7 linked regions of the Mus musculus genome follow. The protein of the gene in region 2 binds, or shares a complex with, the protein of the main gene of each other region. Links are inferred from orthologs where the notes say so. Each region holds a gene or a part of one and is shown on either strand. Other genes may lie near its edges. The genes, in order: Klhl42, Cul3, Kctd5, Klhl25, Klhl21, Klhl12 and Klhl22.

What was found.
Region 1: Cul3 (region 2) and Klhl42 share a complex: the UniProt entries of both Homo sapiens proteins name them as parts of the BCR(KLHL42) E3 ubiquitin ligase complex. The link is inferred for Mus musculus from reciprocal best matches to the Homo sapiens genes CUL3 and KLHL42.
Region 3: the proteins of Cul3 (region 2) and Kctd5 are in contact, whole or in part, in a cryo-EM structure (PDB 8U83), measured with the Homo sapiens proteins. The link is inferred for Mus musculus from reciprocal best matches to the Homo sapiens genes CUL3 and KCTD5. Residues at the interface, in NP_003581.1 of Homo sapiens: Thr24, Met25, Asp26, Glu27, Lys28, Tyr29, Val30, Asn31, Ser32, Ile33, Trp34, Asp35, Leu36, Leu37, Asn39, Ala40, Glu43, Asn48, Ser50, Leu52, Ser53, Glu55, Glu56, Leu57, Arg59, Asn60, Ala61, Tyr62, Thr63, Met64; in NP_061865.1 of Homo sapiens: Trp45, Phe55, Leu56, Thr58, Thr61, Arg64, Asp65, Lys67, Ser68, Pro96, Thr97, Tyr98, Phe99, Gly100, Pro101, Leu103, Asn104, Tyr105, Leu106, Arg107, His108, Gly109, Lys110, Leu111, Val112, Ile113, Asn114, Lys115, Leu117, Val122.
Region 4: Cul3 (region 2) and Klhl25 share a complex: the UniProt entries of both Homo sapiens proteins name them as parts of the BCR(KLHL25) E3 ubiquitin ligase complex. The link is inferred for Mus musculus from reciprocal best matches to the Homo sapiens genes CUL3 and KLHL25.
Region 5: Cul3 (region 2) and Klhl21 share a complex: the UniProt entries of both Homo sapiens proteins name them as parts of the BCR(KLHL21) E3 ubiquitin ligase complex. The link is inferred for Mus musculus from reciprocal best matches to the Homo sapiens genes CUL3 and KLHL21.
Region 6: Cul3 (region 2) and Klhl12 share a complex: the UniProt entries of both Homo sapiens proteins name them as parts of the BCR(KLHL12) E3 ubiquitin ligase complex. The link is inferred for Mus musculus from reciprocal best matches to the Homo sapiens genes CUL3 and KLHL12.
Region 7: the proteins of Cul3 (region 2) and Klhl22 are in contact, whole or in part, in a cryo-EM structure (PDB 8K8T), measured with the Homo sapiens proteins. The link is inferred for Mus musculus from reciprocal best matches to the Homo sapiens genes CUL3 and KLHL22. Residues at the interface, in NP_003581.1 of Homo sapiens: Thr14, Arg17, Ile18, Arg19, Ala20, Phe21, Pro22, Met23, Met25, Asn49, Ser50, Gly51, Leu52, Ser53, Phe54, Glu55, Tyr58, Tyr62, Leu66, Met118, Asp121, Ile122, Met124, Tyr125, Arg128, Val129, Gln133; in NP_116164.2 of Homo sapiens: Asp73, Tyr74, Arg76, Gly77, Met78, Gly81, Gly82, Leu83, Lys84, Glu85, Leu92, Ile93, His94, Leu117, Gln121, Val125, Cys128, Gln129, Gln131, Pro133, Trp146, Glu150, Asn151, Asp154, Val155, Arg157, Leu161, Phe162, Asp163, Ser165.

Annotation. Positions count from the first base shown.
Region 1 is NC_000072.6:147,089,809-147,093,874, reverse strand, and holds the start of Klhl42 (kelch-like protein 42), read right to left. Parts: upstream 2,801-4,066; 5' UTR 2,344-2,800; coding exon 1,508-2,343; intron 1-1,507. UniProt on the Homo sapiens protein: Substrate-specific adapter of a BCR (BTB-CUL3-RBX1) E3 ubiquitin-protein ligase complex required for mitotic progression and cytokinesis. The BCR(KLHL42) E3 ubiquitin ligase complex mediates the ubiquitination and subsequent degradation of KATNA1.
Region 2 is NC_000067.6:80,264,423-80,267,690, reverse strand, and holds the end of Cul3 (cullin-3), read left to right. Parts: intron 1-403; coding exon 404-535; 3' UTR 536-2,768; downstream 2,769-3,268. UniProt on the Homo sapiens protein: Core component of multiple cullin-RING-based BCR (BTB-CUL3-RBX1) E3 ubiquitin-protein ligase complexes which mediate the ubiquitination and subsequent proteasomal degradation of target proteins.
Region 3 is NC_000083.6:24,070,686-24,074,647, forward strand, and holds the start of Kctd5 (BTB/POZ domain-containing protein KCTD5), read right to left. Parts: upstream 2,801-3,962; 5' UTR 2,744-2,800; coding exon 2,492-2,743; intron 1-2,491. UniProt on the Homo sapiens protein: Its interaction with CUL3 suggests that it may act as a substrate adapter in some E3 ligase complex. Does not affect the function of Kv channel Kv2.1/KCNB1, Kv1.2/KCNA2, Kv4.2/KCND2 and Kv3.4/KCNC4.
Region 4 is NC_000073.6:75,846,980-75,851,137, reverse strand, and holds the start of Klhl25 (kelch-like protein 25), read right to left. Parts: upstream 2,801-4,158; 5' UTR 2,665-2,800; exon of another isoform or gene 2,654-2,664; intron 1-2,653. UniProt on the Homo sapiens protein: Substrate-specific adapter of a BCR (BTB-CUL3-RBX1) E3 ubiquitin ligase complex involved in various processes, such as translation homeostasis and lipid synthesis.
Region 5 is NC_000070.6:152,007,496-152,011,690, reverse strand, and holds the start of Klhl21 (kelch-like protein 21), read right to left. Parts: upstream 2,801-4,195; 5' UTR 2,749-2,800; coding exon 1,728-2,748; intron 1-1,727. UniProt on the Homo sapiens protein: Substrate-specific adapter of a BCR (BTB-CUL3-RBX1) E3 ubiquitin-protein ligase complex required for efficient chromosome alignment and cytokinesis.
Region 6 is NC_000067.6:134,486,531-134,488,951, reverse strand, and holds part of Klhl12 (kelch-like protein 12), read right to left. Parts: intron 1,943-2,421; coding exon 1,784-1,942; intron 1,309-1,783; coding exon 1,210-1,308; intron 18-1,209; coding exon 1-17. UniProt on the Homo sapiens protein: Substrate-specific adapter of a BCR (BTB-CUL3-RBX1) E3 ubiquitin ligase complex that acts as a negative regulator of Wnt signaling pathway and ER-Golgi transport.
Region 7 is NC_000082.6:17,790,621-17,793,882, reverse strand, and holds the end of Klhl22 (kelch-like protein 22), read right to left. Parts: intron 1,458-3,262; coding exon 1,092-1,457; 3' UTR 501-1,091; downstream 1-500. UniProt on the Homo sapiens protein: Substrate-specific adapter of a BCR (BTB-CUL3-RBX1) E3 ubiquitin ligase complex required for chromosome alignment and localization of PLK1 at kinetochores.

The sequences.
Region 1 (4,066 bases), on a different chromosome or scaffold from region 2:
AATCAGGACTATACAGAGAAACTATGCCTGAAAAAAAGAAAAAGAAGAGAAGAAAGAAAAAAAAAAGAAAGGAAGGAAGGAAGGGAGGGAGGGAGGGAGGGAAGGAGAGAGAGAGAGAGAGAGACAGAGAGAGGGAGGGAGGGAGGGAGGGAGGGAGAGAGAGAGAGAGAGAGAGAGAGAGAGAGAGAGAGAGAGAGAGAGAGAGAGAGAGCGCCCATCCTGTCCTTGGCTACTCTTTCTACTGCTGGGACACTGGTATTGAATCTGAGGCCTCAAAATTCTAGGCTAGTGCTATCCCTCTAAGACACCTTTCCCCTACTCTTTCTGGTTTTGCTACATTATCCAGGCTGGCCTGGAATTCACTCTGAAGGCCAGGAAGAATTTTAACTTGGAATCTGCCTGCTTCAGCCTTCCAAGCAGCTGGGGCAACAAACCCTCTCTACAAGCCCTGACTTGTCCCCCAGGCCACTTGGGAAAGATGGGTGAAGTGGAAAGGAATGCATCTTCAAGCCATAAGAGGGGGAAATTGAACAGTACGAGTTGGTTTTTGTCATTCCTTCAACCACTGACATGGTAGATGCCTTACATTTGAAGTTATAAGTTACAGATTATTTATTGTAGAAAGCCAATACTGTACTGTACACCTTTAGTCCCAGCTCTCTGAAGGCTGGAAGGCAGAGGATGGCAGACCCTCATGCCTAGGAGTTCAAGACCAGCCTGAGGAACATACCAAGATAAAGGAAAACCATCTGAACATATGCAGGAGGGTATATATATATATATATATATATATATATATATATATATATATATATATATATATATATATGCGCTAATGTATATATGCATAGGTGTATATGTAGGGTTTATATGTACATGCTAAAGCTACCCACAAGGGACTCAGGCATCCAGACCGGGGAGTCTGAGGCATCCCAGATAGACAACAGACTTGGAGAGACAAGGGTACGCCCATTCTGTAGCTGACCGCTCCAGGCTCAAGTTTTGGGTCAAAGATGATTGCCGTCTTAGAAGGAAATAAGAAACAAAAGTGAGGATGAAAAGAGAAGAGAATCCTCTCTGGCAAATCCCTTACACCATCCTAGGGAGAGGGGATGCACGCTCTCCTACCCAAGTGAGAAGGATCCAAAGTCACTGTCAGCAACAACAAAAATTTCTGAAGCCAGAATTACAAGTTACTGCTAGTGTCTCCGTAATTCGGGTCAGACAAGTTAAAGAAAAGCGAAGGAAAAACAACCGTTATCTTTCCCAATAGCCTTCTCTGCAAGCCGGTCTAAGGCAGAGAAACCATTCTTACCTGGGGCCTGCACCTGAAAGAAGACCACTAGGCTAGCTGACACAGTACTCGTCTTCTTCCTAGCAAGCCCTGGGCTCCCTGGGAACTCCGCCAGAGGCGACAGGCCAGCAGCACTAAGCAAGATGCCATCGCCTCTGGCCAGCAAACACCAGGGCAATGAATGAAGGGTGCAGACACCCCCTTTGCACTTACCGCTTCTGGTTCATGGAGGCCACCTGCAGCCACTCGTTGGTGATGGGATTGTAGGAGTGTGCGGCAGAGATCTCCTGGCTGGTGATCCTGTAACCACCCACGATGAAGAGGTAGTTGTCCAAAATGGCTGAGCCGTAGCCCCTGACGTTCACCAGGTCGGGGGGCAGGTTGTTGGCCAGGGGGAACCAGCGCTCCGTGGTCTCCTCGTACCTAAGCATGGACGGGGGTTCCCCCTGATACGGGTGCGGGGCAAGGGGTCCCCCGAGGAAGTCCCCCAGGGCCACCAGGACCGGGGTCCCGCGCATGCGGGCCTCCCTCAGCCTCTGCTTCAGGCTGCAGTCCCCGGGGGCCTGCGGCGGCGACAACAGTAGCGGGAATTGCGGCTGACACAGCACCTGGTGGAAGCGCAGCACCATGAAGCGCAGGCAGGCGTCCTGCAGGTCGGGCAGTCCGTACACCTGCGCCAGGCGGTACAGCTCCAGGCAGTTGCCCAGACGCACGTGCGACAGCAGCAAGCGCAGAAGCGCCGTGACCTGCAGAAAGGACGCGGCCTCCACCATCTCGGACAGCACACTAGCCTCGGCCAGCTCGTCCTCGCTCAGGCCCCAGCCCTCGCGCGCGCCGCCCGCGTTGATGAAGTCCAGCACCAGCCGCAGGCCCGGAGCGCTCAGGCCGCGCAGCTGCTGCACCTCCGGGCCCACCTCGGGCCGCACGGCCTCGCGCATGCCGGAGCGGTAGAGCGCGCGGAAGTAGTCGCTCTGTTCGATCAGCTTGCTCTTGCTCACCGGGTAGCAGCGGTCTTCCAGGCGGATCTGCACCATCTCCTCGGCCGACATGGCTGGGCCGCTGCGCCCCGCCGCTCGGCCGCTCAGGCTCCTCCCCCGGGCGCACAGCCTCCGCCGAGCCCGGCCTGCGCTCTCGCTTCCTTCCTTCCGCCGCCGCGGGCCGCGGGCCCCGGGCTCAGCCCCGCCGGTGCGTCACACGCCCTCCGAGTAAACGGCCTCTCTGATCTTTAATCCATGTGTCTATGTGGGTTCCTCCGCTACAATGCAGGTGCCAGGAAGCCAAAGGCGGCAGATCACCCTGCAGCCTGAGGTAAGGGCGGTTGTGAGCTGCCCTACGCGGAAACGGAGCTCCTGTCCTCCGCAGCAGGAGTGTGCACTCTTAACCACTGTGCATTTCTCCAGCACGGTGTTGTTAGGAAACAAACAAACGCGTCGGTTCGCGGTGCTCGCCCCCTACGCACAAGTCACCGTACTTGATCTTCTGGTGTTTCCCGCAGCCCCACAGTCCCTGTGTGAGTTTTCCTGGGCCAGTCAGTACTGCGAGGTTTTAGATCCGCGGGGTGGTTCCAGAGTGGACTAACGGATTACTAGGGCTAAGCAATTTATTAGAAGAGTTATTAACTCCATGGACAAGACAGACAGATAGGAAGGCAGGCAGTGGCATGGTTCAAACCCCAGCACCAAGACAGCAGAGTCTCTGAGCAGCAAAAAGGGCAGGTGGGTGGAGAGGATGCGGAGATGGGGATGCGGAGATGAAGATGCGTCAGAGCTGTCCCCTCTGGGTAGCACTTGCCCGCTCTCATCCCTATCTACCCCACCACCACCATCCCATCATAGCTGTTAGGAAAGAACATTTTCCTATGTTCCCTGGCGGGACGCTTGGTTAGAAGGCTGGATCCCAAAGGCTGTAATGAAGCGATAGTGTCTGCCCTGGTACCCATGGTGCCCTGCCTTGCATTCCCCAGCATTACTGTGTCCGTCGGCTGCTTCACAGAGAGAGGGCTGTCGGCCATTATATTCTGCAGAATACACACAAAGGTAAGGAACTATGAAGTACAGAAAACATTCTAGCAGGATCCGGCCTTCCCATGGGAAAGAGACACAACACATGGACCTGAGGCTTGCTATGCCTTACTTTCTTGGATACTCTGAGAAACTTGGAACACAGCCCCGTGATTGACAGGCCTGCAATCATTCCTGGCAGGCTTCCGTTCCCCATCTGTCACTCTCAGTGTTTGGGGTATGAGGAGGGTTTCAGGTGAGGGGCCAAGGATTTAGTAGATTCTACAGCAAGGCAAAATGCCACAGCTACCATTAGACATCAGGCTGGGGGCTTCTGGGAGGGCTGACTTAAAAAAGGCTGGACCTGGATCTGTCTGCGCCTCCATCAGCAAGGCAGGATTCAGTGAGTCACCAGAAGAACAGGCTCTTAGTCTCTGGCTCTTTAGAATCTTTACCAATGGAAGCTTTTGTTTCCAGACCAACTGGTATTCTCTTGCCTTTTAAAACAAACCAGAAAGCCAACCTTTGAGAATGATTCTCATTAGAGAGGCAATTCAACCCTGGTCACATTACCACAGTGAGGTCAGCTGGACTGCAATCTGAAGTGGTACCTGACAATACTGGGCACCGCTCCTGCAAGATTTTAACCCCTGGCCATACGATGGGGCATCTTAAAAGATCCAATAACTTCAGTAAACCACACAGTGTTCTAAAAAGCTGGGCATAAAGACAAATACATATAAACTTCTTTGTTACAAAGTATTTAAGCTAT
Region 2 (3,268 bases):
ACGCTATCCTACCAGGTTCTGTGAACTGGGAAGGTAACCCAGAAGTTAATAATATCATCAACATGATTAAACTATATTCTGGTATGTATTCAGAATACTGAAATCTAACTAATCCTCGTTAGCATCCATATTTTGACACAAAGAAGTATGTTTTTAAACATCCATTAAATTTTCAAGTAAAAGCTTTAAAATTTTTGTACTTTTTCTTGTCTAGTTCTTACCTCACATCCCCAAGTACTAAGATTATAGGTATTAGGCACCATGCTTGGTGCATCTAACTTTTTTTAAATCAGGTCACTAAATTTTTCAGCTTTAAATGGCATGTCGGCTCTAGTAAAAAGATAGGGATTTTTGTTTGTCTATGTGGAAGTGTTTTAGTTAAGACTTTACTTTTTCTTTTTAGGTAACTCAGCAACTGAAGGCTCGATTCTTACCAAGTCCAGTTGTTATTAAGAAACGTATTGAAGGACTTATTGAGAGAGAATATTTGGCACGAACACCTGAGGATCGCAAAGTATACACATATGTAGCATAAAATGCATTCAGAAATTTGATTTATTCTTGGACTGTACTCTTCGCATGGACTGGGAAGTTCTTTTAAATCATACTATTAAGACGACCATCTCTTCTGTTAAATTGCAGTACGTGTTATAGACCACTCAGATCAAGCCTCTACTCCCTCTGAGAGTTTTCAACATCAGTTGATTGAGCTTCAGGCTTTCCAACGTTATCCCTGTAGAGATCATCTTTACAGTTCCTCGGGAAAATGTGAATGTGCCGCGTTTTGTTTTCAATATTGTATGAAAACAGGAAAAAAATAAAACAAATTTAGAAAACACAGCTCATTAAAATAAAATTGTTGGATTTCATTTCCCCAGGTCTTCAGTGTTGATGTAAATGTGTTTCTGTAGTGTTGCTTATTAGCACTTTGCGCATTGTGTAAGTTGGGTAGCAAAAATGGCAAAAGAGATGCAAAATTCCCAGTTATCTTGCTCTGCTTGTGACATTTCCTTCGCTGGTATTGTTTAAAGGTTTGATACATATACAAAGACCCAGGCATACAATTGGCGCATGCTTTATCCTACCACTTGCACTTCCTAGTCTCACAGCCTTATGACCAAGGACCTTTATTTGGACATCAATACATACCCTGACTTGTTTTTCTCTATTGTAATCTGAGGTTTTCCAAATTAAGTTCTAAGATTATTAGGTTTTGCTCTGAGTTATTTCTAGAGAAAGAAAATATTTTAGTATGTATAAATTGTACAATAATTTTTTTGCTGTTGTACTTACTGCTAACAGTGGATTGTATAGGGTGGTGTTTTTATTTCATTTATTGTAGACAAAATAAATAAATTTAGTATTCACATACACACTAACTCAAGTATGTCAGAGCACAAAGGTGGCAGCTGGTTCTATTTAATTTAGTTCCTTTGAAAAGCACATCCATCCATTCTACCATTTGTTTATAAATATATCCCCCATCCCCCCACACACAGTTTAAATATATATTTTGGTGAAGCTGTGGTACACCATTAATTGTTTCAAAATGCAATCTAAAGATGCAATAAATAGAGTACCTTGATAGTTTGAAGGAATTCTTCAGTTCTTGCAGCTGTGTTTTAGAAAGTGATTAAGCAATATTTTTCAAACGTGGATATTTAGCTATCCATTGTCCTCTGAAGAGTCCTTTTCATGTTTTCAAAGATGTGCTTTGTGCTGAAGATTTGTGTGTCCGTTCCTCTGTGCTTCCAACTATCACTGAAGTCTTCTACCTGATTGATCTGCCAAGGATTATAGTTTGCTTTAACTTCAGAGTATTTTTATCTTCCATTTTATTTAATTTTGTTCCTTTTTCTTTTCTTTCAAGATAATGTTTTAGATATGTAATTGGGGAAAACCACTAGATTTCTGTCAAAAAAATGAAATGTTACTGAATTCAAGTAACCAACTCTCCATTGAATATCAATACTGTTGATATACTTATTAGAATGTATGTCTCAGAAGATGGTTTCTGTTAAATATATGAAGTTACAATTACTGAATTCTAATATGGATTAAAAGCTCCACATAAATATTTTCCCCATGCGTCTTGGATTATAATTTTCCTTTTAGACTTGCTTTTATTGCATTTAAATTTGCTTTTATATGTACTGTTAATTTTAAGTCTTAGGATCTTAATCTCTACATGTTCTCCACCTTTCCATGAGACAGTAAAGGTGTGGGCAGTACGGACAGGTTCTCGGTGCACCTTGCTGTGCTTGCACAGGTACGGTGGGACACTGATGGATTGCTTTCTGGTGTAAATAGAATTTTTACGAAGGAAGCTACTTTTAACAGTTTGGAAGTGAAGACAGCTCAGCTGTACAGATTAGGTCTAATGTATATGTAGGGACATAAAGGTTTGCTAATTGTTCTGGTAGATGCTTGCTTCTGAGTTAAAGTAAATGTATTTGTTGGGCAATGCTGGCTCTGCTACCTTACAAAATTCATGTGATGCATTTGGTATTTCTCAGCAATAGGTCATTGACATTTTTATCCTCTAAATGTTTTAAAAGAATAATGTGATGAGATTCTTTTTTGTGACTTGAATTTTAGGAAAGATGGATAATTTTTCCAGCTATAAAAAATGATGTCATTAATTGTTAAGTTATTCTTTGCTGTCATTCTTTGTGGGACAGCATTTTTTTATTTGTCATTTAAATATTGAAAATTTATTCCAATTAGGAAACAGCTTCACAAAATAAAAAATATGGTTGTAATTCCAAGGATTCTTTATGTCAGTGAACTACAAATGGAATTAAAGGGATGCATGTGTGGGGCATTGTGAGCACAGGGCAGGAAGGCACTGGTTCAAGATCTGGAAGATACTAATACGCCTTTGCAGTGAGATTCTCAAGAACAGTGAAGTAGCGCTGACGTTTGTTTCCTCAGTATGCAGGACAAACAGAAAGGCTTAGGTAAGAGCCAATGCTCTAAAGATAATGTGTACATTTCCAGAAACTAGCACCCTTACTGACACCTTAATTTCTCTATTTGGGTCTAAATTTTAGTATATTTAGTCTACACAATGACCTTTTCAGGTTAATTTTGAATATCCACTTTGATCAAATAATACAATATCTTGCCCTTGTCTGTCTACTGCCCTTTTGAGAGTAGCCTAAGTTTTCATGTTCCATGTTTTACACAGCATAAGGCTCTCTCATCTTAGAAGGAAAACCTTTGTATTATTTGTATTATGTTTTGCCCTATATGGTACTTCTTTATG
Region 3 (3,962 bases), on a different chromosome or scaffold from region 2:
TTTTATTTTTATGATCTGAATTGTGGCTTTATAACTCAGAAATCAAATGTTACTTAAATAAAATTTAGATTTATTTTACATTATGTGTATGAGTGTTTCAGATGCGCATGCCTGGTGCAAAGGGGTCAAAGGAGAGTGTCAGACTCCCTAGAACTGGAGTTACAGATGGTTATAAGTCACTTAGAGAATGTCTGGGAATCCAACCCGGGTCCTCTGTAAGAGCGGCAAGTGTTCTTAACCACTGGGCCAACTCTCTACTTCCTAAATAATAAACTTTAAAAAGAAAAAACAACTAAAATATATTCTGATAATCTTCCACTGCAATAAAGGAAACGCACACATACACACAGACACACACACACACACAGGCAAACACACACATTTATTTACGTGTGTGGGCACACAAGTACCATAATAGTACTGAGAAGTCAGTGTACAACTTTATTTTTAATTTTTTGTTTGTTTTGTTTTTGAGACAGGGTTTCTCTGTGTGTGGGAACTCACTCTGTAGACCAGGCTGGCCTGGAACTCACAGAGATCCATCTGTCTTTGCCTCCTGAGTGCTGGGATTAAAGACGTGCACCACCACACCAGGCTTTTTTGTATATGAAATTTTAATGACTCATTTTATTTTATGTGCATTAGTGTTTTGCTTGCCTATGTCTATATGGGTGCTAGATCCCTTGAAACTGGAGTTACAGAGAGTGGTGAGCTGCTTCATGTGGGTGTTGAATATTGAACCCTGGGTCTCTGGAAGAGCAGCCGGTACTTTCATCCACTGAGCTGCTCTCCAGCTGTTTTGTTTTGTTTGTTTGTTTGTGTTTTGAGTCAGCGTTTCTCTGTGTAAACCTGGCTGTCTTGAAACTCGCTCTGTAGACCAGGCTGGCCTCAAACTTATATATCGTCATGCCTCTGCCTCCCAAAGTGCTTGAACTCAGAGTTTAACTTTTAAGAGTCAGTTTTTTCCTTCCACCTTGTGGATCCTAGAGACTCAAGTTTTCAGGTTTGGTTGGCAGCAGGTGCCATCTCATCAGCACAATAAAGATAATTTATAAAGTAATCTTAAAAGATAGTAAAATGAAGAGATATATTTGACTTTAACTATGCTGAAGTCAAACAGCCCTATATACCTTGTTCCAGTGCTAAGTAAGCAAAAAGACACCAGAAGCCAAGGGCCAAGGCTGACTTAAAATCTGACTTAATACACAAGACAGGGATGCTTGGGTAGAAAAACAAGAATGACTATAAATGCCTACTGTTTGAAAAACCAATCGTAAAGTACACACCCTCACTATAAAAAGGAAACAGCACTGACAAAAGCCTATTTCTATCTGTCAGACTTCTGCCATTTTCTAGAAGGCAATCCTCTAAGAGTGAAGAGATTTGGTCAACTCAGTAATGGTAACAGCTGGGAGGAAGGATATGAAGAACTACCATAGTAGTATCTCAAACTCTAACTTCTTGATTATTTTGCAGTAACTCAAGAGTTCATTTCCTGGTCATAATGCCAGGCCTCCCTCACTGAGAAGGTGCTCTGTTAGGCCGTTTAAAGTGCAATGGGCTCGATCTTTCTGGAAAACCTCCTGAGTAGTCACTTTCAGGCTGGCAAGGCACAAAATCAAGCACCATCATGTAGGCTGAACCAGAAAACTCAGTTAGTACAAGGCTAATAAACTGCCTAGGGGGAAAGGGGAGTGAACGATTTGTTCCTAAGTTTCAATCCTGCACAATACTAATTTTTCAGTATGCAGTACGACACACAACTTTTGTAATGATAATAATTGAAATACTTTCTATTACCACAGGTATTAACAGTATTAGCGTTTAATTAAATTAAAGATAGACAAACCACAAACTAAGCTGGAAATCCCTACCCTTTTCAAAGGCGGTGGGGAAATGAAGTCTGAAAAGGAGATGGAAAAAGATTCTCTACCTGGTCTCTTTCACAACCCTAAGATTTTTTGACACCTGGCCCCGAACATGAATTCAATACAAATAATTCATTTATTAGAATTAAACTGACACCTTTGAACATTTCTACTCAGGTGGTACCTTCTAAGAGATGCCGTGCCTGTCCTTATGAATGAGAAGGATAAAGCACAAACTCTGCAAATCACTGGAAAAAGGGTAGTCACTGTGTCAACCCCCATGGCCTACGTTAATTTAGACGTCTGGAATGTGAAAAGACCAGATGAATGCAAAGGGTTCTCAGGTTCCAAAGCCAGCAAATAGTTGGGCGGTGGTGGTCACACACCCTGGGCAAAAGAATCTGGGGAGAAGAAAGTAGGGCCACAGCAAAGCTTGGGTCCTTCTCGACCGAAGAGCATGAAAGAAGAAAGAGGCACTGTTAAACCAAAGGGCCGAGGCAGGTGGGTACCAGAGTGCCATCCTCCCTCCGGCCCGCTCCGCCGGGCGCCCTCATTGTGAAGAGGTGTGTGTCGCGAGTGGCGACTAGGGCGGCCAGACCCCTGCTGACCCGCGAGGCCCTCACCTTGTCCGAATCTAGGTCGGGGTCCGCCTGGCACAAGCGGTACAGGAAAGACTTCGGGTCCCGGCACAGCGTCTGCCGGGTGGTGAGGAAGTAGGTGCCGCCGACGTTGAGCCGGACCCACTTGGACACGCCACCGGGGCGCTGAGCCAGGGCGCCCATCCCAGCGCTGCAGCGGCGGCACAGGCCGCCCCCCAGCCCCGCCCCGAGGCCGCTCGGAGCCGGCGGCAGCAGCTCGCAGTGATTCTCCGCCATGATCCTAACAAGCCCCGCCACAGCGGCCCTTCGCCGGAAGCGTCCGTTCTTTAATACAGCCCCCCTGAGTTGTCCCGCCCATAGGTACGCCCCAATAAAGTGCCCGCCCAGGGCTCATGTGCAAGGCGGAAGTTCCGGCTCGAAAAGCAGGCCGGAGATTACCACTTCCGGCCGGAGCAAGTCTCGGGTTCTCACGAGCATCCTCGGCTCAAGCTCCGCCCCTACTCAAAGAGGCTCCATGGCAAACAAAGTGTACACTCTACATGCTTTTATTACAAGACTACCGAGCATACGAGGGAAATCCATCATCCGGTAATTACATCTAAAGCACAGATATTTGAAAAAAACAAAAAAAAGAAAAGTTGTTTCATTAAATTATATGATTAAACCATGACCAAATAGAAAATTTATATAATAAAGCCAGGAAAAAAGTTGTAAAATATAGTTTACAATAATTATTCACACTCAAGGCTGTACATCAATACATACAACAACGTGGCCCCAAACATGAATTCAATCCAAATAATTCATATATTAGAATTTAAATAACACAGACTGAACTAGAGGCCGACAATAGCCAGCAAATAACCTTATATAAGAATAAAAATACAAAAGTGTATATCCCAGTATCATTGCATTATCTGTTTTCATAAGTATTTTTAATTTTTCCTTTGCCTGTACATCACAGTTACAGCTACAGAACAGGTAGAGAATATTACACATGTTCTAACTGACTGCCACCAACCTGAATGACAGCAATTCATCCTACTGTACGTGGCTAATGGACCAGCCGCAGCAGCTCTAAATACTGTAACAGTTTTTAATTTGCACATGTCCAATCACACTATGGTCGTGGCTTTAACCTGCACAATGACCTACTTGTAGTCATTAACCCAGATGATTAAACTAGGGTGGACTACATGGGGAGGGAAAATTTTGCTATTTGTAAAAACTTTTGTTCAGTTTGGATTCTTCATATGGAAGAAATGAGTTACAGGGAATTTTCAGGTATTCATATTGGTTAATTCATTTGCTTACTGCTGCAAAAGTGCTTTTGACAGAAACAGCTTCCCTCACATTGCAGGCCATTTTTCCACATTCTGACTTATAACCCTGAAGTGTTAGGCCAGAAGCTAGGTATCTTCAGAGGTTCTGAGAGTGGTTCCAGCCCTGTTCAATGTCAGGGCCCTTGTCTTACCTTCTACCCACGAGGTGCTAC
Region 4 (4,158 bases), on a different chromosome or scaffold from region 2:
TCACCTACACCCTCCTCCAGGAGGCCTCACAGTGACACGGGCAGCATTTGAACCCAGGTCAACCAGAGCCTGAGCTCCTTCCACTCACCCTGTGCTGAAGGGACTTAAGGGGCAGCCCTGCCAACCTCAGAGTCCCTTTCTGTCCCTTTAGTGTCTGCTCCCAAGTCCTAACAAGCCCCAGAGACACCTGGCAGGGCAGGCAGGTGTCAGCTTCAGATGTCTTTAGAGCTGGTGCCAGCAGAGGGTTCTCAGGGCATGGGCACGGTTGCTGAGAAGGAGAAAAAGCCTGCAGTGGCAGCCAGACAGCAGCAGACTCATCACAAGTCCTGCTGGGATGCGGTTTCTGTACGCTGGGATGCTTAAGTTCTGCCTCTGCCTGGCCATCCTCACATAGCTCCCAAGTGTTTCCTGGCCTCGAAAAGGATTCACTGGCAGATCAGCAAGGCAACTCAATTATGAAATTTACCACATTAGAGGACTTACTGCATTAGCATTTCAATCGGCCAATTCATTTGTGGCCCACCACTGTTGGCTTGTGCCAGCTCTATAGGGGTGTGTGTGTGTGTGTGTGTGTGTGTGTGTGTGTGTCCTGCCCAGGGCACACTGACACTGCCAGCTAATAAAGAACTCAGGGCCCAGGCAGTGAGCTGGTGAGCAGGAGCCCCCAGAAGCTGCTGGGAAGCCAGGTCCTCCAATGAACCTGGACAGCTGCCCATCCTAGAGCTGGCCCTGGGAGAGTGTGGATGGATGGCTAGAAAAAATGGCTGCAACCAGGGCATGGAATGAAGGTTTGGTAGGCTCATGCTGGCTTTCCTTTTCTCTCTCCAAGAAGCCTTCATCCTTCTCTCCAGCTTCCTGTTACCTGCTCCCTGGGGTTCTGCAAACTGATGTATCAAGGTCCCCATCCATGAGCCAGCACCTCCTCCTTTCTGAAAGCAGGGTCTCAATATCATCTGCTCAAATGATTAGTTTGACTAAAGCCGTCTCTGCATACATAGCAAGCTCACTGCTCCAGGCCGCCCTCCTCCCTCTAAGACAGGAAGGATGCATTTACTTTACAGCGCACACGGGGGCATTTCTTTTTGTCTTCCTACTTTTCTCTCCCTACACTGGTGGCACAGGCTTAAGATGCCATCAACAGGAACTGAGCCACCGTGGAACACACAACTTGCACACGGATCCTGCACCGCTGCATGGCGCAAGGAACCCAGTTGCAGTTCGATGCCCATGAAAAAGATTTCGTCTGTCCATCCTCCACAATTTTTTTGAACAATCTCCCTGGACTGGCTTGCTGATAAAGGACTCAGCTGAAATATCAATAATTACAGGGCTGGGACAAAAGTGACTTTGCCCATCTCCACAGACAAAGCCTGTGATCTCCACAACCCTGTCTTAGAGGGACCAAATCTACTGTAGGATAAGAGCACCGTGGGTCCTCCCTCCTCTGTCCCCTGACACAAGCTTTCAGCAACACCCATAAAAAGTCCTCCCAGCATAACTGTGCCGCTTATGAAAGAGGCTCAGCAAACTAGAGGGTCAGGTGCCAAGTGCCCCTCCCTCCCCGTCTTACTCCAGGGGTGAAGAGCCCAGACATCTGGCATACCTTGTCCTGCCCTGAGCATGGAGGGAGAACTAGTGCCCAATGAACCTTGGCCAAAGCAACTTGGCCTCTGGTCTCCCCAAAGTACAGATGAACTACAAAGCCCCCGAGAGTCCGCCCCTCCCCCCAACTTCCTGTGCTCGAGTCTCTAGAAAGTCTCCCAGATTGGTAAGGTGGCACTTGCTTATAAACCCAGCTCTCAGGAGACTGGGACCAGAGATTTCATGCTCAAGGCTGGCCTGACGTTTATAACAAGACTAAAACCGGGAGAGGAAAAAAAGAAAAAAAAGTAAGACTGTGAGAATCCACTTTGAGGTCCTTGAGGCACTTGCACCCAAGTGTCTGGTGCCCCAGTAGGCACAATTCCCGAGTAGGAAAAAGCTTCTAATACAGCTATGAAGGAGACTAGTCCAGTGGGGATTTGCAGACCACAGCGGAATTCTCGCGCCAGGGCAACGCATGGGAGGAGGGGAATGGGATGGCGGGGGGAGGGGGGGGTGGACTACTTGCTACGGCCCTGCCAGATCGGCCACCACCTGGGTAGGTAGGGGCGTATGGCTCCGGGAGTGTCACCACTCTCCCTTGATAGACAACTTTCCAGACAGGAAGGACCCTATGCTGCGGGCCACACGGCCAGGCCCTGCTGTCTACTCTTCCCTGGTTTAACCCCTCGGCCCTGGCTAGGTACAAGCAAGTCGCGGGGACCTTGGCTAGGTGTGTGCACAAAGCTGCACGGTTCGCATCCTCGAAGACAAGCAGTTTCCTCTTTCTAGGATCAATAGTAATTTTTTTAAAAAAGAGAATCAGCGGACTCAATGAATCAAACACTCCCGGGAGAGGGTAGCCGCTCCTGCGCGTAACATCCGTTTGGAAAACAATTCATTCCCTTGGCGGGAGCTCTGAACATAACAGTACGGGGTCCCCAAGCTCGATCGAGGGGCGCTCCCAGGTCAGCACCCACTTCCCCGACCCAGTGAACTGGGCCTGCGGTCCTACGCCCTGCCCGGCGATCCTCGAGCAGGATCGCTCGCTGTCCCGGTGACAAGTTCCGACCTGATCCTCACCGTGCGGCCCCACAGGCTCTGCAGTCCCCGCCGCTGCCGCCGCCCCCGGCCGGCTCACCAGTCCCGGCCGCGATCCCGTAGCCGAACCGCACGGGCGCTGCCAACAAACTAGTTTCTCCGGCCTTCCCGCCCCGCCTCGCGGCCCGAAGCGCAGCAACCAATCATAAACCGCGCCTCTGTGACGGATGGGTCGACTGACCCGTAATACAGTCGCGTGAGAAGAAAGGGACGGTCGTCCAGGCCATCGGTGCCGCGGAAGGCGGGGCGGGGAGAGGAAAGCGACTGCCACCAGATTCTTAAAGGGACAGGCCATTGCCTTTCTGTTCTGGTGGCCAGAGTTGGGAGAAAGCAACACGACCTGTTCTAGAGCTTCTCTTAAGGAAGGTCTTTGTCGATCACACGCATTCTTCTTTCTGTTACCGAATCACAGCCGTTGTTGATCTTTTTAAAGACCAGCAATCTAATCGCTCCTATGTTAAGGAAATCCTTTTTCCCTCCCGGCTAGTTTCGATGCGAGGGAATTTCTACAGACACGAATCCCTGTCTATACTGGGAATTCCCAGATTTCAAGGGAGAGGACTTTAAGCTTCAGCTGTTCTGTCAAGCCGGTGGAAATTTCTTCCTAAACTTTTTTTTAACCCTTCAAATATCCTTCACTATTAGAACTCTCAGCGGTACAAAACTGATAGAGTAAATCTATATCTATACATACATACATACATACATACATACATACAACACACATATGGAATTTATTAGAGTAACTTTCAGGCTGTGGCCGGGGTAGCCCAACAATGGCTGTCTCCGGATATAACGTCTGAGAGTCCAACTGTCAGTCCACGAGGCTGGATGCTTCAGCTGGTCTTCAGTATACCTTGGAATTCAGAAGAAGTTGGCTATAATACAATGAAAGAATGACCCTACCTGTGAAACTTAAGGGCAGACAAAGAGCAAAAGCTTGCTTCTTCCAGGTCCTTTTTCCAGGCTGCCGCTAGAAGGTGCCCAGATTTAGGGTGGGTCTTCGGGGGTGGGTGGATATGGGGGACTTTTGGTATAGCATTGGAAATGTAAATGAGCTAAATACCTAATAAAAAATGGAAAAAAAAAAAAGAATGAAATTGGCTCAAAAAAAAAAAAAAAAGGGTCTTCCTATCTCAAATGATCCAACCAGGAAAAAATCCCTCACAGGTGAGCCCAGCTGCTTGGGTTTTAGCTACTCCAGATATAATCAAGTTGAGGATCAAGAGTAGACATCACACTTGCCCAACGCATCCATTAGTTCATTTAAGAGTTACTAGATGAGCTGGGGAGTGGCGCTCACAACCACCTGTAATGAGAACGCCCTCTTCTGGTGCGTCTGAAGTCAGCTACAGTGTACTTATGTATAATAATAAATCTTTGGGCCGGAGCGAGCAGAGACTCTAAAAATTCAATTCCCAACAACCACATGAAGGTTCACAACCATCTGTACAGCTACAGTGTACTCACATACAT
Region 5 (4,195 bases), on a different chromosome or scaffold from region 2:
CTCAGAACAGCCAAGCCTTGGCTCTGGGCGGCTCTTCCCGGTACACAGCAAACATAGGACTTGGCCACCAAATCCTAGACTTCCTGGGCACTTTCAAACCAGGATTGTGCCAGGACACGGTGAGAATACACAGCGTTCCCCAAGAGACCTAACACAGCAAGCCACACCTCCATATACTTTGCCATTCTAGTTTGCACTTTAGTGGAGGGCACAAGGGCACGTTTCACTTGAAATTCTTATCAAGCTATACAAGTATGACAGGCACTGATATGTGTGTGTGTGTACAAGTCTTTTTTAAAAGGCTATTAAAGAGGCAGATCTCTGTGAGGTTTGGGCCAACCTGGCCTACAGAGAGAGTTCCAGGACAGAGAAACCCTGTCTTACAAAACAGTGTGTAAAGTAGATGTAAGACTACAAAACTTTCATGCTATCAGGAGACTGCAGGAATCCTGGAGGCTGTGCTCCTTGGCTTTCCCTGCTGGCGCCCGCCTTAAACAGGACAGAGACATTCTGTCTGTCTCTCAGCCTGGAGCTTTTGAGGAAGGAGAGTCTGAGGCATCTGTGGGCCTTTTACAGGGACCCTGCAAAGCAGCTGAAGCGGCTTCCTGACCGGCAGGAAAATCCCCTACCAGCAGCTGAATGCCAGGACGGTGCCACCTGCCTAAACCTGATTAGCTGTTCAGCTGTGACATTTATCCAAGGGCGAGTCTGGCCAGTTCTGGGAAGGCGTTCTCTGCTCAAAATCACTAGCCAGACTTCGGAGGAGATGGGGGCAGGGTGGCAAGGGAGGAACCCCAAACAACACAGAGTCGGTCTCAGGTTGTTAAAGAGGGATACACACTGGCAGGCTTCAGCAGAGAGCTGGACTCAGGGCGGCTGGTCAGAACTGACACTGACGGGATGTGTCCCTCTTCTGTTCCGACATAGCAACATCAGGGTAGGCTTTATGTGGAATGTGCCACCCTAAGCACGGCCCCCGTGACGACCCAGCCTCATGCCTGCCTGCCTGATAATAGGGCCAGAGGCCTCAGTGGTCTTTCCTTATATAGCAGTTCCAGAGGCCATTCCTCTTGGCCTCCTGTAGCCTCCCTACAGTTTGATCAGGGATTCATCCTTAGTGAAAAAAACGTGGGAGAAGCCCAGTACTGGGGCAGGCTGGGGCCCGCCTACCGTGACTCGGCAGTGTTTTGGGGTTTCAGCCAAGTAAGTGGAAGAAAATCTCTCAACATGTGACCATGTTTACAGTCGTAGACTAGTGCAGCCTAAATACCATGTGATCCACAGTGCAACGCCTAGGTGCGGGCTCTTAAGAAACCTGGTCACTGGTGACAAAGCCTTGAGTCAGGAGGCCCCTGTGGCTTAGCAGGGAGGGAGAAATGTCCCTGCTTTGGGGAGGGAAAGATGCCTCACCAGGCGCCAGCCTGCATCCTGTCCCCACATTCCTTGGGGATTAAAAGAAAGCACCCATTGTGCCAGGTCAAAGCCCGGTCTTTTCCAACTCAAAAGAGGGAGGTACCTCAGGGCAAGGAGTTGGCTAAACAAGGCAGACTGTACCACAAGGAGCACAGAGACCCACAAAGGAGCTATGTCTCTGCTCGTACAGGGGGGCTCTTCTAGCTTAAAAACAGATGGAGAACTTAAGGAAGTAGCCCTGCCAAGGGTTAGGTCAGGCCCTAGAATGCCAGGTCCTGAGTATATCTCTCTTGGAAATCCACCAACTCACTCACCCGTCACGTAGATGTCGTTGCCCAGAGCCACGATACTATAGCCCCCACCTAAGTGATCGGGGAACTCGGCCAGGTAACGCCACTGGCCGGTCTGCGGATTGTAGCAGTCGACCGTAACCAGCTCGTCGCAGTCCTGGTCACAACCTCCCACCAGCACCAGGATCTCGGCCAGGCCGGTGGACGGGCGCGGACGCATGCGGGGGCAGGGCCCGCGGTCGTGCCGGTCGTAGCGAGCCGCCTGGAAGTCGCGGGCCTCGCGCAGCAGGCGCAGGCAAGGTGGGCAGCGCGCCACCAGTGGCTCGGCCTCCACGTGTGCCAGCAGGTAGAAGCGGCGCACGAAGGGCAGGCGCACAGCCTCCAGCAACTGCGGCCAGTGCGGCGCGCGGCGCGGCGGGTCCGCGCGCACCCAGCGCAGCGCCAGCTGGTAGGCCGCCTCCTCCTTGGGCACGCACAGCCCGTCGTCGCGCAGGTAGCGCAGCAGGCGCGCCAGCGGCAGCCTCTCCAGTTGCTCGGCGCCCAGTTCGCCCACGTGGCGCAGGATGAAGCGTTGCGCAGCGCTCGCCAGCCCCGAGCAGCTGAAGGCCTCGGCGAAGTCCTGCATGTCCAGGCAGTTGGCCAGGTCGAGCTGCTGCTGCAGGAAGGCGCCGCACGCCTCCTTCACGGCGGGGAACTGCAGCAGGTCGGCGGCGCGCAGCAGCGGCTCGGCGTTGTCGCCGCTCACCGCCACTCTGCCGGTGTAGCTGAAGTCCAGGAGCAGCTGCAGCATGTCGGGCGGCACCCCGTGCAGGCGCACGCGCTCGGCGCGGCTCTCGCGCAGCTGGCCCGCGAACATGGCGCGGAAGTAGGGACTAGCGGCCGCCAGCACGGCGCGGTGCGCGGGGAAGTCGCGGCCGCCCGCCGCCTCCAGGGTCACATCCAGGAACTTGCGCTCGGCGCGCAGTTGACTGAGGCCGCGCAACAGGCTTAGGGCGTGCGCGGGATCGGAGAAGGGCAGCACAGCCAAAGGCGCCGGCCGCTCCATGACGCGGAGCTGCGGGTCACAGGGACGCCCCAGCGCGTCCGGCACCGCCTCTATAAATACGCAGACCAGCCGCAGCCTCCGTGGGCGGGGTCTGTTGGGGCGGAGCGCCTCTAACCTTGCCCATTTAACCCTTCTGTTCCCAGCACTGCGGTCTGAGTCACAGCCGCCTACGCCGGCCCCTTTCCTCCCTTCCGGGGGTTCCAGTCGTCTCCAGCTGACGCTCCGCTGAGAACGGCGGGTGACAAGTGAGGGCTAACCACTCACCAGCCCAGCGGTTTGCAGAAAGAGGTCTGGAGAGGCGAGCTTGGCGCCCGAATCCGTAATCACCCCTTTGGTCTCAAATTCCCTATTGCGCTCCTGGGAACTTCAGAACATCTGGGAATGACGATGTTTTAGTTTCAGTGGCTCCAGGGGTAGCTACTTAACCCAGTCAGATTTCAAACGCTATTTTCACAATTCAGCACCAAAACACGAACAAATTCGATGGGTTTTCGTCGTCGTCCTTTATTCTTGGCGCGTTTAAGCAAATTGGTGGGGCCAGACTCCAGGAATGTGCTCCACAGTGTTCATGCCTGAGTTTCCAGCGCATCAGCAAAGCAGTGGCTTTACTTTCCGAGCAGGCTTCTCAGAAAGGGTAGGGGCAGGTCTGCTGGGGATCGCTCAGGCTCCCAGTCCTCTGGGTGGCTCAATGGGTCCAGCTCAAGGTCGGGCAGGGCAGCACCTTGAAAAGCTGCAGAGCCGGTAGCAGTCACAGTTGAGTGGTGATGCAGTGGGGGCTGTTTGTATGTATATGCGTGTAATGTATGTATATATGTACGTACTCTTGGAGAAGGAGCCCCCCCACTTAGAAGCCATATTTGGGTTTTGCTTTACTTGGTTTCAGGCAAGTGTGGAGAGAGAAACATCTGCCATCAGCGGCGTCTGCTGTTAACTGTCCCCCACCTCCGTTCTGAAAGCATTCCAGCCTCAAGCCTGCCCAAGCACCCTGGAGTCAGTCCTCTGTCATTCCTGGGTTGACACAGCCTTGGCTGGAGACATTTGCTTTTATTCCATTTCTAAACCCTTTCAGGCTTTCCACTCAAGGAACCTCTCCTCCTTTTCCAACGAGAATGCCTCTGGTCTAAATTTCAGGGTCACCATGGGAAGCACAGGTTCTAAGGAGGCAAACATGCAGGTACCCAGGCAACCGCCTGTTGCCCATAGAAGGACTGTTCACACAGCTATTAAAGGCAGAGCAGCATTCCTGGGCCCAGGAGGCTGGCCCAGCTTACACACAGCCCTTCCGACAGGCTGAGCAGCCAGGAAGTGGGATGCTGCTAGGAACATCCTGCAGTTCCTGGGAGTCAGCTCAGCAGGAAGCCTCAGGATTAAATGCTGCAGCTGGGAACTGAGTATGGATTTTGTTTCTTTCTGCTGGAGATGGAATGAAGGGCCTCGGGCACACAAG
Region 6 (2,421 bases), about 54 Mb from region 2:
TAGGGCTACTCCAGCACCTGGGGAAAAGAGAGCATCAGCACATGAATGGCAGTAAGCCTAGCATCTGAACCCAGTAACAAACACGGCCGCTAACGGCTGCACTGTGGAGATGAGGGATGCACACATGTCAAAGCACTACAACAGTGTAATACAGCAAATGTCAGTGTGTGCATTGGTCAACCCTTAGGTTAGGGCCTGAAATTCTAGCAGAAGACTGACATGGGTCTCATCTCTGCTGTCACTAACTCACAGTCTATCTCTCTTCTGTGTTAGAGACAATGAGAGGAACCAAGGCCATGGCTCTGCTGTGATCTCTGTCCAGAGGCAGTTACATCACAGCCTATTCAACTAAGAGTTCTCAGCTGTTAGAGTTAGATGTACCTCTATGATAGAGTACTTGCCTAGTATATGCAAAGCCCTGCGTGCAGTATTCAGAATTTAAAAAAAATTATTTTTAGGCATTAGAGATTTTATCTAATACTTATTGCCATTTATTATCAGGTATATGTCACATGTGTGCAATCCTGGGATTACTTGGAGTCTAAAGTTAATGTGAGCTATATACTACATACAGTGAGATCTTAGATTAAAAAAAAAAAATCACCAATGAGTGTAGTGGTATAACTTGAAGCCAGAAGCAGGAGGATCACCTCATAGCAACTTGTACACTGGCCAGGACTGCACAGTAGGACCCTCAAAACAAAGTCCAGCCAGGTTTGTCAGTGCACGCCTTTAATCCCAGCACTCAGGAGGCAGAAGCAGGTATAGGTGCATCTCTGTAAGCTCAAGGCCAGCCTGGTCTACAGAGTGAGTTCCAGGACAGCCGGGGCTGCACAGGCAAACCCTGTCTTTAAAACAGCAAGACATCAACATCCAAAGAGTACAAAAAGCAAAGACATAGACCTCAACAGGTCTGTGTACAAAAATATTTATTTAACATGTACTGCACACACAAAATGAGGCTAGTGGTCAAACTACAAGAATAGAAAAAAGTACTAAAGAATAAGGAATCGCTGTCCTCAAATGGACAATCTAGCTCAAAGTTTAACCTACCTTCCTTCATCCTAATGTTGTAGGGAAGGCAGAGGTGGAGGAGACTGGACTGTGACTCACATTCACAATGGGTCTACAGTGAAATAAGAACTACAGTTCTGTCCTACTGATACCACACCCAGTAATTAAACCATCACTTCATAGGTTTGGTCTTACCAGAACGCTTGGTGGCCATAGGCGTAACGTTAGTCCAGTGTCCTGTATGGGGATCATATTTCTCAACTGAATTTAATATGTTCAAGCCATCATATCCTCCTGAAAGACAAAGTGGAGAACATTCCAAAGAGAAAGGTAGATTACCAGGCTCATCTTAGTTGGCCTTCTGTGAGTAATTCAACTGATTATTTATTTATTATATGTAAGTACACTGTAGCTGTCTTCAGACACCCCAGAAGAGAGGGCATCAGATCTCATTACAGATGGCTGTGAGCCACCATGTGGTTGCTGGGATTTGAACTCAGAACCTTTGGAAGAGCAGTCAGTGCTCTTAACTGCTGAGCCATCTCTCTAGCCCTAATTCAACTGATTCTTTCAGTTCTATTTTTTCCAGAGGTCCAGGTCAGAGAATATGCAACATCCTACATATTGCTTACAAGAAAAATATAATCCTATTCATGGACAATATATTGAGAAAAGTCAGAGTTTTTGTTGATGCAAGTATATGCACTTAATTCTGCCCTCCAGAGTCTGTAACCACTAAGCTCTCTCCAGCCCCATCCCAGGCTCATACCTAGACAATAGATTATTCCGCTGGCCACTACTAGTCCTGCGCCCTCTCGAGCTGTCTGCATATCTCCCAGCATACTCCACTGATCGATGTTTGGGTCATACCGCTCCATACTTGTATGACGCCTACTTCCATCAAAGCCTCCAGAGACGTAAATCATATCTGCTCAGAGTGAACAAATTATAGACTGTTAAATTAAGAATGAAAAATACCTAACAACTTTTATCTCTACAAATTACCCATTGTTAAGATGGGGGAAGAGGGACTGCACACATGAATGTAATTACAACACTTGGGAGGTTCAGAAGGAGGTTCAGGAGTTCAAGGCCATTCCTGGCTACAGACTAAGTTAAGCCTTAGCTATTTCAGAACTCATCCCAGGCAAACAAATTATTATATTTCTTCAAGTTGATTTTTATTATTCTTAAATTTCCCATGGTGTATATTAATTATATATGGTAGTGTATAATACTACATAAGCACATTCTTGTAAATGTATATTTTGTATATATTTTCTGAGACTTACGTGACTTAAATGGTAAGTCATGTAAGTCTCAGAAGGAAGAAAGGCAGTACAAACAAGCATTTAAAGCCCATGCTGGTAAGCCCAAGTTTGAAACAAGGGTGAGTTACACGGGGAA
Region 7 (3,262 bases), on a different chromosome or scaffold from region 2:
ACAGACCAGGACACTACTGTCCTGTTCCATATTCTTTCCATTCTCATAAATGGATATTCTAAGCAAGTTCTCTAGTGCTGAGTTGCACCCCAATCCTCGGAGCTTTCTGCCTTAGACATGCAGTGAGGCGAACAATTTTGAGCTCCCCAAGGAGGATGGGACTAGGTCAGCACCACAGCTAGAGTCAGGCTGCCCAGGAGCTAGAGTGGATATGAGGCAGCAGGAGCTGGTGAGCCTCAGGGCAGACATTCTAGATGTTCTGACTGAGAGACAGGCAACTACTTGCCACCTCAGTAGCTCAGGTCCTGGTTTCTGTGTGACCAACATTCTTTCTGCTTGTGGAGCTTATCATATGTTGGAAGTAGGGTAGTGACCCCCTGGTTTTAGTGCAGAGACTCAATTCCCATGCCAAGTCCATCCCCCAGGAAGGCTGGCCTGTACCACCCTAGATGCCACTGAGGCAGTAACTAGAGAGAAAAGAAACTCAGACTGTAGCCACATTAGATGTAACACCTTTTGCATAATGCTTTATTTCATTTTTCAACAATATTGGGTCAGACACAGAGCAATGAGGGTATCTCTTCATCTCCAGGTCCAGTTACAGGTATATAGTTACTCTAAGAGTATACCTTGAGAGCTCCCCAGTGCTCAAGGCCCTGGCTGCAGGCAGCTGGCGCTGCTCACCAGACTGACCACGGTTCACAGAAAGGGAGCCACAAACTTTGGCTATGGCTAGGAGTGCTCTCCCCAGGATCTCTTGAAAGAAGGACCTTACTTAACCCATCAGGGACCAGACTAGGGAGAAGAAGCGGCCAAATAGATCCCACTCATTCAGAGTTTATAGAGGATGGGTCATTCCCTCTGATGATAGCAGCCTTCCCCCCAGCACTTTTCTTTGTAATGTAATTCACAGCCACAGAGTTTACAAATGCTGGCAGCTGGCTGGTTGAAGAAACAGAGTGAAAGGGGCAGCTGGTGAACCAGGATGGCTTAAGGAGGGGCCCCTCCCCTAGAGCCTGGTGTTCTAACCCAGGCTCTACGGCCTTCACTGCCCATTACCCTTCCTGAACACCCAAACACTGGGGAGAGCCCTAGTCCTCGCTAGAGTTGTCAAACTCTTCCCAGTCAGACACACTCATCACCTCAGAAGCAAAGTCTGCATCTGCCTGGCTACGGTTGGGGGTCCCTCGGGGTTGCTCATGGAGCAGGGATCGAGGCAGGGTGAGCACACAGGCTGCCAGGCCTGAGATGGAATTGTTCAGCTGGGGTCCCTCTTCCCAGCAGTCTTTCTCCATGTCGTAGATGTGCACGTAGCCTGTACGGCTGCCTCGGTTGTGAGAGCGGCCACCCAGCACATATATCCTGCTGTCTAGCACAGCAATGCCAGGCTCACCATGCCCAGCTGGGAGTGGGCAGACCGATGACCACTGACGAGATGTACAACTGTAGCAAGCCACCTGCAAAGCCAAGACCAGGGTCAATCCAGGCAGCTTCTGGGACAGGTTGCCAGCCCACCCCAAGTCACTTCTGCCCATGGTCAGGTGTATAGCAGGCCCACTGGAGGATGCTCACCTTGGTGGTCTAGCCTTCCCATCCTTTAGCTCCTAAGAGTCCAGATGCCTCCCCTCATCATCTCTAGATCCACTCCTGCTTCTCTCCCTTTGAAAGGCTGGAGCGGAGGCCATGGACCCACCTGACATCTCTTCTTCCTTCACAGCAAGCACCCTTACTCATACTCATGAGGAGTGTGTGGAGCAGCTACTTGCTGACCACCAAAGCAAAATAAATAGCTAAAGCAGTAAACAAAGATTTGAGAAAAAATGCTCAATCTATTAATAATCCAAGAAGCGTAACACCAAAATGTCCCCTGTTAACCAGTAACCATGGAGGGAAGGAACCCATAAAACCCAGTGCAAGTGAAGGTGTGGCAAAGCTGGTGCGCATGTCTCACATGTCAGAAAAGGAAGTAAGTAGTATTCAGTAAGAGACACTTAACCCTCTTCTTCAAGCCTGACAGTGGTGGCACATGTCACCCAGCACTTGGGAGGCAGAGGCAGGAGATCTCTGTGAGTTCAGAGCCAGACTGGTCTACAGAGTGAGTTCCAGGACAGCCAAGGCTACACAGAGAAACCCTGCCTCAAAAAACCAAAAGCTAAACAAAAACTGACAGGCAGAAGCAGGTGGCTTGCTACTTGTGAACTCAAGGCTAGCCTGGTCTCCTATTTGCTCCCAAGTACTGAGGCTGTAGGTTTAGGTAACAATGCGCAAAATCTTATATGCTTTATTAAGCAAGCAAATCAAGGTTCTTGCTACAATAGGCAAAATAATACTCCTTGCCCTAGAATCCTAGCCTTTGGAACCTATGAACATGTTATGCTACATGGCAAAACTGACTTTACAGATGGGATTAAGGGTTGGAAGTGTATTTCCTGGGTGGACCACTCCATAGTTTTGGTTTGGGACAGGATCTAGATACATAACATTAGCTGGCCTAAATCTCTGTAGACCAGGTTGGCTTCGAACTTGCAGAGACTTACTTGGCTCTGCTCTGAGCACAGGAGTGAGCAACTGTGGCCAGTCAACAAACAGTTCTGACTTAGGAAGGTTTCACTTATAGTTTTTCAGCTTTTACATTGATGTAAGTTTTGTTAGACAACATGGTTCCAAGTTTGAACTTGTCCTTTTCAGGAGTTAGTTAACTCAGTACAGCTACTCCATTTTGAGAGTTCCTACAGTACTCCATGTGCTAAGTGATGACAGCTGTTGGGTCAAGGGTGGTTATATGCATTTGTATGTGTGCGGAGGTCAAAGGTCAATGCCATATGCTGTTCCGCAGGAATTACTTTTTTTTTTTTTTTTTTTTTTTTTGATACAAGATCTCTCACTGAGACCCAGGCTCAGCATTTGGGTTAGGCTAGCCAGCAAACCTCAGGTACTGTCTTCAAGCCTAAGTACTGTGGTTACAAGCAGCCATCATGGTGCTTAGATTTTTATGTGTGTTGTAGGGGAATCAAACTCTGGACCTCATGCTCATATAAAAAGCATTTTATGGACTTTGTAGCTTGTTGTAAGACTATAGATAGACAGTCCTATCATGAATGGAGAAACATCTTTAATTATGTAAGTACTCAAAATAAGAAATGGAAAGGCAGCCAGAAGGAATAGGAAGGAAGACTCACTCCACCTGCCCTTGCTGCTTGAAGATGAAGTGGTTACCAGCAGGAAGGCAGCCAAGAAAGGCTGTTCACAGTTATCCAGTAAA